2 linked regions of the Schizosaccharomyces pombe genome follow. Changing the gene in region 2 together with the main gene of any one other region gives a genetic interaction. Each region holds a gene or a part of one and is shown on either strand. Other genes may lie near its edges.

Region 1 (5,238 bases), 1.5 Mb from region 2:
AGACGGATGAGGCTGAATGATCGGCAACTCTCTTGCGTAGAAAGCGTTACTAACGGGATCGGTTTACTGTGCCTTAAACAAGCCGACCAAGTTTGTCTATTTACTCCGACGGTTGATTCCCATCTGTGATTGCATCTTTTATCCTTCATATTGAGTCATCCTGAATGGTCCGCTCAAAGGGAACTTCGTCTATCTCGGTGCGCTTAATAAACGCTTGTTTTCGTGATGAACAAACCCTTTGCAGTGAACCCATGACCTTAATCGTTTCAACTTGACATACGGCCAATGAGCGTAGTGACATTAAATAAGAGTATCGAGTTTTTTCTTCTTTTTCCACTTTTCAAATTAAGCTAAATTCAATGTTTCGTTGAGTTTCTGTATGTAACAGCATATGAATGGCATGTGGTATTGGAAACAATGTGAAAGCGGATATCAATATTGCATTCGTTTAAATTACTGGTTTTTATGACCTCACATACAATCATTAAAACGGCTTTCGACTACATGCGACCAACAGGCTTTCACCATTGTTTTGTTTTTATTCATTTCCTTTTACCTACTGCTATTTTATTACTCGCTGGTATCATTATTTCATGACTACTGGCAATAAGCATATCAACAACCGCCCACCGAATATCACATTATTAAAAATGCTTGATATTTCTAGTTAACAAACTTGTACTTAAAGCGTCACAACCGAAGCAAACCAATAAATAGCGAAAAAGGCTATTCGCCATGGGAGCATTTATTAGAAACGGTGAATTGTCGAACGTGATAGCAGCGCATTGTTAAGTTTTACAAAGATGGTTTACATCGTCTAAAAGCAGCTTGCTAGAAAAAGCATACAACAATATCATAAAAAGCTTTTGTCGGTCAAACCTTGATGGGTTACTTCAAAAGAAAGTTGGAATTAAAGAAAAAGTAGAGGTAAAAACTTTGTTCAAGGAAAGGGGGGAGCGTAAAAAGTATTCCAAAGTACAGGAACGCTATACAATCATGGGATTTAAATCTTAGACAAATACATCAATGCATAACAACAGGATATCGGTTCTCATCAAGTATGATTTCCAAACAGTGTGGATTCAGATGTACTTTATTAGATAAGGTACCAAGATAAAAGACATATTGGGGCATATAATGATTAACAAATTCAATGACTTCTTCATCACTCATACCCTTGTGGATCCGAGCTTTCAAAGCATGCTCTTGCTGCAGTCTCCATCTGTAAACATAGTTTATCTCTTGTGCCTCTAGTTCCACCAAAGAGTCAATTTTTTGAAAGATAGGCTGATAATCTGCAAGCTTTCTGTTTACCCACAGTAAACTTCCTTCAATATTTTGCCAACGTGTTGATCGTGCTCGGACAGACAGCATGCAAGAATCGAGCGGCTCAAACCCAACCATCCATCCTTCAAAAATTACATAGGTAGTTGTTTTAGGATTTGCCTTTTTCCATTGGGATTCATCTCCCCTATCTCCGTAGCCACCAAACTTGGATTTATCGTAAAAAGGGATAGATACCTCCTCATCGCTTCCCTTAACAAATGCATTTAAAACATTATTTAAAAATGTGACATCATGGGTTCCAGCTAAACCACGATGTTGAACAAGAGGATTATTGGGATTATTTTTGGCCAATTCAACTTGTTCTGCGTGCGTGAGGTAAAAGTCGTCAAGTGAGAACTTCACAACTGATTCGTTCTTCCTTGTTAATTCGGTATCTAAAGCACTTGCCAGTGTGCTTTTACCAGATCCTTGAGGGCCGGAAATTCCAAGAATAAAAGGACGACCTTCAGGTTTTGGCTGCTTTTCCAGGAATTTTAAAATTTTGTCGACAATGATTTCCAACGAACTCATATTCCACTTCTATATAAAATTTTTAAATTAAATACAAAACCTAGCTTCCCCTTAAAAACGACTTAATAACATAAGTATAGGAAAGACGTAGGACTAATACTCGAAATGTGAAAGAAAGCGAGGTGCTGTAGCTATATGAAAATTCAATGTTAAGTACCACAGTGACTAGATACTTTCGTAACGACTACCAGTAAAGGACTACAAACACAAAAAGCTTTTTAAAAGGCTAAAGTCGTTATGCAATGGTTGGATTTTACCAACAAAGTTTTGTTACGGGATGTTGTATCACTAACATTCCGTTACGTCTCATTTGTGCCAATATACTGAATGCTTGCGTAAACTCTGTAATACTTGGAAACGGCTTCACTGCGCCTCACTATTTGGAAAGTTGTAACGCTGTAAATGTTTTGTTTTTACCTATAAGTAAATAGAAGATACATAATAAAATTTGGTGATGCTCTGGATTTTCAGGGATAATAGAATTTCTGTAGTTATATTTTCTACAATGACGGCTAACTTTTAAATTGTTTAATCTTGATGCCATGCAGTATAGCTCAAATGCTGAAGAATTTAGGTAATATGCATTTTATACTTTGTCTTTAAATTGTCATACTTGTCTCTTGCGACTTTTATAGCTAAATAATAATATTCCAGTGCTAACGTATGTGTTTTTTCTATAGTAATCCAAAAAAAACACGCAATTTATTGTGTCAGTAAATAAAGTAACTTGTAAAAATAAGTTTAGCTGAAATGTACAACAATCAGTCCCCCATCCAATGCGATAGCAGCCGCAGTTACAAATATTATTTATATTTAATTATTACATTTTGTTTACAGGTACATAATGTTTGTTAACACTTTTTGTACGTTTAATTAAACTAAAAGTATTTATTTTTTTAACATATACTCTAAAAAATTAATTTACTCAAGTTTGAGTTATCAAGAAAATTTAATCTACAATAATTATTTTTGAAGCACTTATTTGTTTTAATAGTATATAGTCTGGTGAAACAATTAGAATTCGTCTGTAAGTAGTAAAAATACAAAAATGTTTCTATGGTTTTCATATCATAAATACTTACACTTCACCCGTTTAACTTAAAAACTTAAGGTAATCCGTAGTACACCAAATTCTTTTCTTTTCTTTTTTTATTTTTTTTTATTTTTTAAAATGTATTTTATTTAAGAAATAATAAATAAAGTCCCTTATCCAATTCCACTAGATATAAATCGTTAGTTTAGAATTTACCAAAATACTTTTCAATAGCTGTCGTATATACATATTTATACACATTTATTACTTTCTTTTAAAAATAACTTATATCAATTATATCGTAACGTAACTGATGAGTGGAATCATTTAAAACAATTTAAGAGAGAAGTTGATATTGGCTGTTTATTTATCCGAATTTTTTTATGTTATAGTTCTACCATATTTGGCGGTTGTTTTCTTTATTTTGATTATTTTTTAAAAACAATTGAAAAAGTTTAGTTAATAATCAAGTAAATCTAATAACTATATATACAGTTTTCAAAGCACAATATCAACTGAGGCTTCGTGGTGTAGTGGTAGCATACTTCGTTTGGGTCGAAGTGGTCAGGGGTTCGATCCCCCTCGAAGCCCAAAGCCTTTAAATTTTTGTTTCAAATATAAAAAAAGTTGATTTGTGCTTGTAAAGTACAAACCGTATAAAAAAAGGAAACCCGTTTAATATTCTGTGTAATGGTTAAAGGGTTGCATAAATTACCGCTCTTTAATTACATATTAAGAATTTATCATACATTGTCCAAGCTCTTCTTGTGCTGAATTTTTATAAGTAACGCGACACTACTTCTTTCATCGTAAAAACTTTTCAAGTAATTAGGAAACTACATTTATGAACCATTTACTGTAAATACAATTATATTTTCATCTGGGAGATTAACAAATATTTTATCACTATTTGAATGCGTCCCATTCCAGTGAAGAATCGCATTGGAAAAAACAACATTGATAATGCAAAGGGACTGAAGGGGAATAAGCTTATTCGTCATTATCATAACCTGTTAAAAGAGAAATCTCGACTTATTGCGTCAAGTGCTCCGATTGAAAAAATAAAAAATGTGGAAAGTGAACTCGAAAATATAGGTATTGATGCTTACCAACGAGCTAGTCGATCCGGTCAAGCGGAAGGAAAAGGAGGGGATTCAAGTAAAATATTGATAAAATGGATTCGGACAACTCCCTGTTTTTCGTATTGCGCACGTCTTAAGGAGCCGAAAGATTTGTTGGAAATTGGCAGTGTTTCTGTTGACAACAAATGTTCAACTTGTGGACTTTTCCGAGTTTCAAGGATTGATTTGCATTCTGTTCATCCCTTGATTAAACAACAGGACTTTCTTGAAAGAACTCCTGAAGAAGGACTTTTTACTGGGATAAGTTGTTCACTTGTGCTGAATTTTGCACCTCCAGAACTCCGAGCTAAAATGTTATTACATTGTACAGGATTGTTAATGCCTCCTAATAAAGAACAGCCTCCTTGGTTATTTTTGGTTTTGCCTTCGCCTTGCATAACAAATTCTCGGTACATGGATGAAAAAACATTACACTCAATTATGATACAGTTTGGATTTATCTGTCGTCAAAAGTCTATATCGAAAAAAATAGCCTACTATTTATATTCTTACGAGTGTTTTCCTATGAAAGAAATAGACTGGAAAAAGAAGATCGTTAATGATGGGGCAACTAGGAATAATTTCTTCATTCCCTGTATACTCTAATTAAGATATTTGTCAATACAAAATTTATTTTACTAGTATCTCAAAGTTAAATTAATGAAATGAATGCTTTTTGTCGGTTATCCTCTTGCTTTTTTTTAATTGTATTGTTAATGTCAATTACTAGCCTTTACTTACGTAGCTACAAAGTACGTTTTTCAGAGTTTGTTCGTATGCGATACTTTACTAATGAGCCGAAAGCTCGATCATTGGTGTAAAAAATAGTAACAAGTCATTTTCGTTATATGTCTTTTTAAACTTATTTGCCAAGTTTACAAATCTTGTGCACCGCTCTGTGTTCTATGCATACAGAACACATCTGTATAACGTAATGGAGCGTACCCTTTTTAGGTGAAGTAGCTGGTAATCATCGAAGTCTCTCTTCTCAAAAGCAGTAAACTTTAGCTTGCAGTATATATTCGTGAACGATAGTAATTAAATATGTCCGACCTCAGGAAGTAAGTAATTTTTGTTAATATGAAAAAGCAAAGGTTAACGTTTGTCACCAATTAGAATTATCGGTCTTTCTTCGGTATGCATCGCTCAATGACTCCTACTCGAGCTAGACATCAATTCCATTTTAAACGAGTCTAACTTATATTATTAAGGTCCTGGCAGTAGGAT
Region 2 (7,940 bases):
ACGACCTTTCTATAGCGGCAACCGTCGTAGAATGGGTAGTTTTGTTTAGCAATGTGGATGCGCTATGTATATTAACTGGAAGCCGGCGGTATTTTAAAATTGGCTTAATCGTTCTTTTTGCCAGTCTCGTGAGATCTATTGTCGTTTATATTTTTTTACATTTAACAGGACTTTCACAGATTCAACCATCAACTCCTTGTGATGGGTTTCAGCATTTTGTAAATCTATTATGTGTATACTTTCGTTCAATCACTTTAACTGCGCAAACTGCAGTATAATGACAAAAGGAAATGGGAAACAATACGGCATCGACATAGTGTATCAGTTATTAAAAGTTTTTATATCACCCGTTTTAAGAAACTGGTCAATTATTAGTTCTTTAATAAGTTGTTGATATTTAAAAAATATGAATTTGATGAACCAATTGAAACCGAAGCCAGTAATCATATTTCCTAATCTTGTAATATGAAACTTGAAATGGTCTAAATAAAAATAATAATTACACCCTCAAAGCATATAGATATGTAATAGATACAATTATATAGAGGAAACACTGCAAGGAAATAAAAAAGGCAAAAAACTGAAAAAAGTAAAACTATTTTGCTGAGCATAACTAAACAAATGATCATTCGAAGATATTTTTCTTACCAGTGGAATTTGTTGCATTTTTTTAATAACAAAGTTCAGAGGTTTGCTTTTGCTGTCGCTAAAGAACCCATCACAATTTTATCAGCTACGATATTTTTTAAATATTTAATCAATATATGTATATAAGTCTTTGTTCATTATACATTTGTTTAGTTATAGAAGCAACCAGGTCAGCTAACACCGTCTTAGCTCGTAATGTAAAATAAACTCATAGTAAGCGAATGAATATTTCAGTAAGTTTTAAATGAAATAAAAATTAGAAAGTAAGTAATTTATAGAACTGTAAGCAAATGCAATCAGACCCGTTGAGATTGAATACAGTAAACTATTTTTTAAACCCAATTCAAAAAAAAAAAATAGCGTTGTTTTGCTACATGTGCTGCATTTTGTGCTTTTAAAAAAATTTAAAAATAATAATAATAATAATTTAGTGTGTAGCTAAGATGTCAGCTTTTTATAATTAGTATGTTAAATCAATTAATAACAGGTTACATTAGCTTTTAGTGAAGAATGGAAAACTTGAAGATTAGGTTGGCAGACTAATCTTCAGTTGGATGTAGCCCTATTAAAAAGCAGCAGAAAAATATTCTTTCCGATTTCGGAGGGTTGTATAATGAATTAGATTTGTAACGGTAAAAAGTTTTTGTGCAAATAAGTTCCGTATAATTAACCATGTTTTTCTAATCTCTAAATTAAAACCTAATTTGAAAATAGGGCAAACATGTAATTTTCTTGTATTTCTCGACTTTTGTTTTTTATTTTAATTAAATTATCAATTACAGAAAGTATTTATTTTTTAATATGACTCTAATATTTTCATACTGTCTATCCTTTCACTCTAATCTACATGATTGTTTTGTAAATTTGGCAGTAATTCGGCTCAAGGGTTATTAGGTTACCGGTTTATTAATCAGTTAATAGCACCTTATATGAAAAGAGACGAGATTAAAGTCATACAGTTCTACCAAATAAATAGGTTTTTTTTTTGAATATTTATTTTACGGAAGTAATATTAAAACTCGAAGTATGCGTATTTAAACATTAATTAACTAAATTTGTTTGGATAAACCGCTTTGACCATCTTGACTAACTGCACTTAAGCGAGTAATACGTTAGCCAACTTCCTATCGCGTAAATAATTTAACGCTGTCTACGACAGGCCAGTAAACACGCGATCCCCATACATGTTTTAGATGTACGGGGGATTTTTTTTTGAAGAAACTGTTAAATTTAATACACAAAAATATTTAAAAGTTTTATTTTGGATATGAGTGAAAAATTTAATGTATTTTTCTGCCGCCAATAAAATTGATTCTGTTTCCATCTATAATAGCCAACCACAACGCTCGCCTTTACCAGTCTTACCAACTGCCAATATTAAAAATCAAAACATATCGAGATGTTCAGCCGTCGAATTCAAGTTTTGAGCCCGTTTTTGAAGCATTTTGTTAACAGAAATGCCCGTATGATGGCTACAGAGGCCAACATATCTGCCACTTCTGCTAATCCTCAGTCACAGGGTGAAAATTTAAAAACTTTCGAGATTTATCGCTGGAACCCAGAGAAACCAGAAGTAAAGCCAAAGCTTCAAAAGTATACAGTCGACTTAACAAAATGCGGACCAATGGTTTTGGATGCGCTTATTAAAATCAAAAATGAGCAAGATCCTACCTTAACGTTCCGTCGCTCATGCAGAGAAGGTATTTGCGGGTCTTGTGCGATGAATATTAATGGCAGTAATACTTTGGCTTGCATCTGTAACATTAAAAAAGATAACAAACCTACTAAAATTTACCCCTTACCTCATTGCTTCATCGTAAAGGATCTCGTACCTGACCTAACCTACTTTTATAAGCAATATAAGAGTATTGAACCCTGGTTGCAAAACGATAACATCCCTAAAGACAAGGAGTTTTACCAATCTCGCGCTGACCGTGCCAAGCTTGACGGTTTGTATGAATGTATTTTGTGTGCCTGTTGTTCTACCTCTTGTCCATCTTACTGGTGGAACTCAGAAGAGTATCTTGGCCCAGCAGTTTTGATGCAGGCTTATCGTTGGATCATCGATTCTCGTGATCAAGCTACTGCTAAACGTTTGGATGTCATGCAGAACTCTATGTCTGTCTATCGTTGCCATACCATTATGAATTGCGCTCGTACTTGTCCCAAGGGTTTGAACCCTGGCCTTGCCATTGCCAAGGTAAAGGCTTTGATGGCTACTGCTTAAACAAGATTTACGCTTCTTTTTGTCTTTTCTTTCGCATCTGATGATTCCAATATTTCTTGTTAAAGAGGAACCCCCGTTGTTACTTAACCTATTTTATGTTTCTCTTCTACGATTTTTTTTACTTGCGTAGCTCTGTGTTTAGCTGTCATCTATGCTACATTACTTTCTCGATCTGACCATTACTTTTGCGTTGTTCCCGTTAATGAACCCTTTATTTTTATTTGCAATATCTAAATCTAGTTTACCATTAATAATTTCGGGAAATGGTAAACTTTTCTATTTTAAAGAAAATATGCTATTTCGTGGTAACTTGTGCACAATTGAATTGTTTGATTGTGATTTTTTACGCTGTTACATCAGATGAAATAATTAAGCATGTATTTGAAAATTATCTAAACCACTTTTTTCACTGTTTATTTGTGGCTAGTTACTGCATTTAACATAGCAGCTGCTTCTTTGGTTAAAGAGTTGAAAACTTTTTAGCATATTGAGAGCCCTTTAAGGTAATTGCTTTGTAAAACTTGAGATAAGTAAATGAGGCATCTTTTATTTAATTAAAGTATCACATAAAAACGGAAATCATGTACACAATAATGAAAGAAAAATAAATCTTAATATGACGATTAAACCATGGTATTCTCCATAGGCTGGTCGAAATTTTTTGTTACTATAACATGATTTTAAAATTTCAATGGATCAACAATGTACATTTTCACGGCCACTTTTTAGTTTATAATATTTGACGAACACAAATAACTTGGATAAGATGTTATCGTTCATAAGAATTTACATATTCACCACTCCAGATAATACTACGCAAGACTAAACCTAACTCCTTCGTTTCACTGATTCAACAATTTATTAAATTTCAATATGCTTTTTACCTTTAAGACATGTTATAAGCCTTCAGACACACTCATTTTTTAAATATTAATGGCGAATATTTTACTTTGCTGGTTTGTTGTTGAATAGCGCAGATAGCTATTACTTGATAGCGTAATTAGTTAAACTCGCTTTTATAAAAAATAGTAGTAGTTGAACAAGCTTCTATATTAGTAGTTTAACGAATACGTCTAGAAAATTTGCTATACTAGTATACGGCTTCAGGTACATATATCATCGGTAAAAATTTTTTTGGCTATATATAGCAGCTTGTCGCGCCGTACCAGCAGTCAAACTAAAAAACTCCCAAATTCTTTTAAACGGGCTTTTGGTATAGGTTGTGAATATAATGGCAAAAAAGGATAAAACCTCCGTTAAGAAATCAGTGAAGGAGACTGCATCAAAGAAGGGTGCCATTGAGAAACCTTCCAAGTCCAAGAAGATTACTAAGGAGGCTGCTAAAGAGATTGCAAAGCAAAGCTCTAAAACCGATGTCTCCCCTAAAAAATCTAAAAAGGAGGCTAAGCGTGCTTCTAGTCCCGAACCTTCAAAGAAATCAGTAAAAAAGCAAAAGAAATCTAAGAAGAAGGAAGAAAGCTCCTCAGAATCCGAGTCTGAATCTAGCTCATCAGAATCCGAGTCTTCCTCTTCAGAATCCGAATCTAGTTCTTCAGAGTCCGAATCATCTTCATCTGAATCCTCTTCGTCTGAGTCTGAAGAAGAAGTGATTGTGAAAACTGAAGAGAAGAAGGAGAGTTCCAGCGAATCATCTTCCTCCTCTGAGTCTGAAGAGGAAGAAGAGGCTGTTGTAAAAATTGAAGAAAAGAAGGAGAGCTCTAGTGACTCTTCTTCCGAGTCTTCCTCATCTGAATCTGAATCCGAATCTTCCTCATCTGAATCTGAGGAAGAAGAAGAGGTGGTCGAGAAGACTGAAGAGAAGAAAGAAGGCTCCAGCGAGTCTTCTTCTGACTCCGAATCCTCGTCAGATTCCTCCTCAGAATCTGGAGACAGCGACTCTTCCTCTGATTCTGAATCCGAATCCAGCTCTGAAGACGAGAAGAAACGTAAAGCCGAGCCTGCTTCTGAAGAAAGACCTGCTAAGATTACCAAGCCTTCTCAAGATTCTAACGAGACTTGCACTGTTTTCGTCGGTCGTCTTTCTTGGAACGTAGATGATCAGTGGTTAGGGCAGGAATTTGAAGAGTACGGTACAATTGTTGGTGCACGTGTTATTATGGATGGCCAAAGCGGTCGCTCAAAGGGTTACGGCTACGTTGATTTTGAGACCCCTGAGGCTGCTAAGGCTGCTGTTGCCGCTAATGGTACCAAGGAAATTGATGGTCGTATGGTCAACTTAGATCTCTCTAATCCTCGCCCAGCCAACCCTCAACCATATGCTCAACAACGTGCGGGTAATTTTGGAGACCAATTATCTGAACCTAGTGATACCGTATTTGTTGGAAATTTGTCTTTTAACGCAACTGAAGATGATCTCAGTACGGCTTTTGGCGGTTGCGGTGACATTCAATCCATTCGTTTGCCCACAGATCCTCAGTCAGGACGTCTTAAGGGTTTCGGTTATGTTACTTTCTCTGATATTGACTCTGCCAAGAAATGTGTGGAAATGAACGGTCATTTTATTGCTGGTCGCCCATGTCGTTTGGACTTTTCAACTCCTCGTACTGGTGGAGGTAGCCGTGGTGGTCGCGGTGGATTTGGCGGTCGTGGTGGATTCGGTGGCCGTGGTGGATTTGGTGGCGGACGTGGTCGCGGTAGAGGTGGTGCTCGCTCTGGAAACCCCAACCGTGGCTCGGTTGCTCCATTTTCTGGGAACAAAGTCACTTTTGACTAAGTATACTGGCTTTTAACTATATTGAGTTCATTTTTATGGGTTAAATGTAAATACCTTAGCAAATTAATATATGAGTTTGGGTTTTTGGGAAACTTTTTGGCATAAAGGGTTTTAATAAATGTTGGGCTGTGGATTTGATTTAATTGGGTTGAAGTATTCAAATACAAATGACTTGTTTGGGTTTGTTATGGAATGAATTTGGGTTTGGTTTGGTTTTATTGACTTTATAAAGATAATAAATATGGGCCCGTTGGTTTTACAATTTCAAAGCAGTGATGGTTGGCGTTGTTCTACGGTTTAGTTCATGTATTCACCTTTCCTTTATACGTTCCATAGAAGCTTTTGACATAGCTTTAGATAGGTTTTAATATAAAATAGAATCTTATTTAGTTTTGTTCTTGTTCATCTAATCAATCCATGTTACTCACAATCATCGTTGATCACTTTCTAATAGCTAGTAAATGAAGACCGTTTTGTGTTCCTTTTTGGGCTTTTCCATACGGCACTTTAAATTAATGATTTTTTGTTGAACTTTGATTGTGGTCTTACCCGTAATCATAAATGAAGAATGTAGTCGAGCCATTGTCATATTGTCTTATATCTTCAACTTGTAATGTCTCGTCTATTAAATTAGGTAAGCATCAATAGAAGGTATCATTGATTCTACATTACAAATACGCTTCTATTTCAACTTTTAAATTAATACAAGCATGTTTACTTACACTTTGGTTGCGATTATTTTAAGCAAATTAAAAAAAAATATTTTTGTATATCAAATTATAATATAGCTAAATTCAATTGTAACAGTAGTGATGAGTTCTGGCATATTCAAAAAACGGTTGTAGAATAATATATCCAGCGTTACTAAATCCGGCAAAGGAACTGTCTACTTAACTCTATGAACAAAGCTTCTAATACAACACTGTAAATTTGGTTCCTTAGATTCCCCTTACCACACTGATAAACTAGTAAATCAACTATACGACTAGTGTACTGACTTTCCAGTCCAGATGAAGTGATTGAGTGATGGCAGAAGGTGATTTTAAAAATGACAGTACAGGTTGTATTGGCGATAGCGTGGAATTTACTACTTTTAAAAAACGTACAGGAAAAAGTCTCGGTAATAGAAGAAAAAAGAGGGTATTTCTTAAGCTTTAGAAAACCCGTCTAATAAATATTAGGGATTGTCTGGATGGGAGCCTTATTTTCAAGAACCCGAACTGACAGCTGAAGAGAAATTGGAAAATGAGACATTATACAGCAGGTGAGAATACAAAATATTGTGTCTTACTAACACTTCTAGGAACATACCATTGACTGTGTTAGTAAACAGATGTTAAGGACTTTGCTGACAAATTAGGCGAATGGAGCGATTTATTCAAAGATATCGATCACGCAGAAAATGGAGCGACCCTACAAGAATAAGACTGTTTACAATGTATCTAGATTTAGGAGGCGTTTCTACGGGCCAAAAACAGTTTACAGGGGGTACTGATATTAATAACGATGCGAAGGCACGAGAAGTTTCCGCTCAAACCACGACTGATTATATTGAATACGATATACTTGATGAATATGATATTGATTTTAAGTGGGTTGCTGGAGTATTTCTGTGAGTCATTTATGTTTCCATTGAATTTAATTCACGTTGTATTTTAGCTAATCAATTTAAGGTCGTCACACATTTTGTATAACGCTGGACTAACTAAGGAAGAGGATTTGCAAATAGCTTGTCAAATTGTTAGAAATTTTCTGCTAAGTGTTTTGCATAACAATGTTGCACCAGAATTCGAAGATAATATTCGTGACGCATGTTTATTAGCAGAGCAAGCAGAAACTGAATTAATTTCTAATAAGAGGCTATCAACTAAACTTCCCGGTAGATTGCAGCGGGCATTGGCTAGTATACATGTTGACAATTATAAAGGCTTATGGGACAAATCGCAAAGTGATAGGACAAGTGATAGTTCAGTCAATTTCATTGAATCCAATAATACCAAATTCATGCCAAATGATGAACTATTTGAGCCTGATGGAATTAGTAGATTTTCTACACAGCAAGCGCGCGACTACATCCAGAGAACTCTTGGTCCACGATATTTGACTGGGAAAGTCGTTGAACAAGAGTACTTAACAGTCAAGTTAGTTTCTAAAACGCTATTGAATTTTTCAAACCAATCTTTATGCAAAGCAGTGTTTATCGTTTGGGATCCACCCGGATCTAAATATTCTCAAGATACAAATAAGGAAAGACTAGAAGTAATTTTGGAATCTGATTTACTGAACAACACTGTTGATGGCACTCACTTAGAGGGATCGTTCACTTTTTTG

Evidence for each region. Genes that interact genetically often act in the same process or in processes that back each other up.
Region 1: mutations in gar2 (region 2) and bmt2 together harm fitness more than expected from each alone (negative genetic interaction), as found in Schizosaccharomyces pombe (one large-scale study listed by BioGRID).

What each region holds. Positions count from the first base shown.
Region 1 is NC_003424.3:361,746-366,983, forward strand, and holds bmt2 (rRNA (adenine) methyltransferase Bmt2), read left to right. Parts: upstream 1-3,699; 5' UTR 3,700-3,804; coding exon 3,805-4,617; 3' UTR 4,618-4,697; downstream 4,698-5,238. Other genes in the region: protein mug177, read left to right, coding at 1-129; mug58 (glycerate kinase), read right to left, coding at 1,024-1,857; protein Vps55, read left to right, coding at 5,056-5,072, 5,128-5,146, 5,223-5,238.
Region 2 is NC_003424.3:1,893,417-1,901,356, forward strand, and holds gar2 (nucleolin), read left to right. Parts: upstream 1-4,045; 5' UTR 4,046-4,106; coding exon 4,107-5,609; 3' UTR 5,610-6,075; downstream 6,076-7,940. Other genes in the region: Arv1-like family protein Arv1, read left to right, coding at 1-278; sdh2 (succinate dehydrogenase iron-sulfur subunit protein), read left to right, coding at 2,048-2,875; arb1 (argonaute inhibitor protein 1), read left to right, coding at 6,636-6,749, 6,791-6,873, 6,913-6,930, 6,970-7,221, 7,283-7,940. UniProt on the Schizosaccharomyces pombe protein: Helps the assembly of pre-ribosomal particles containing 18S rRNA.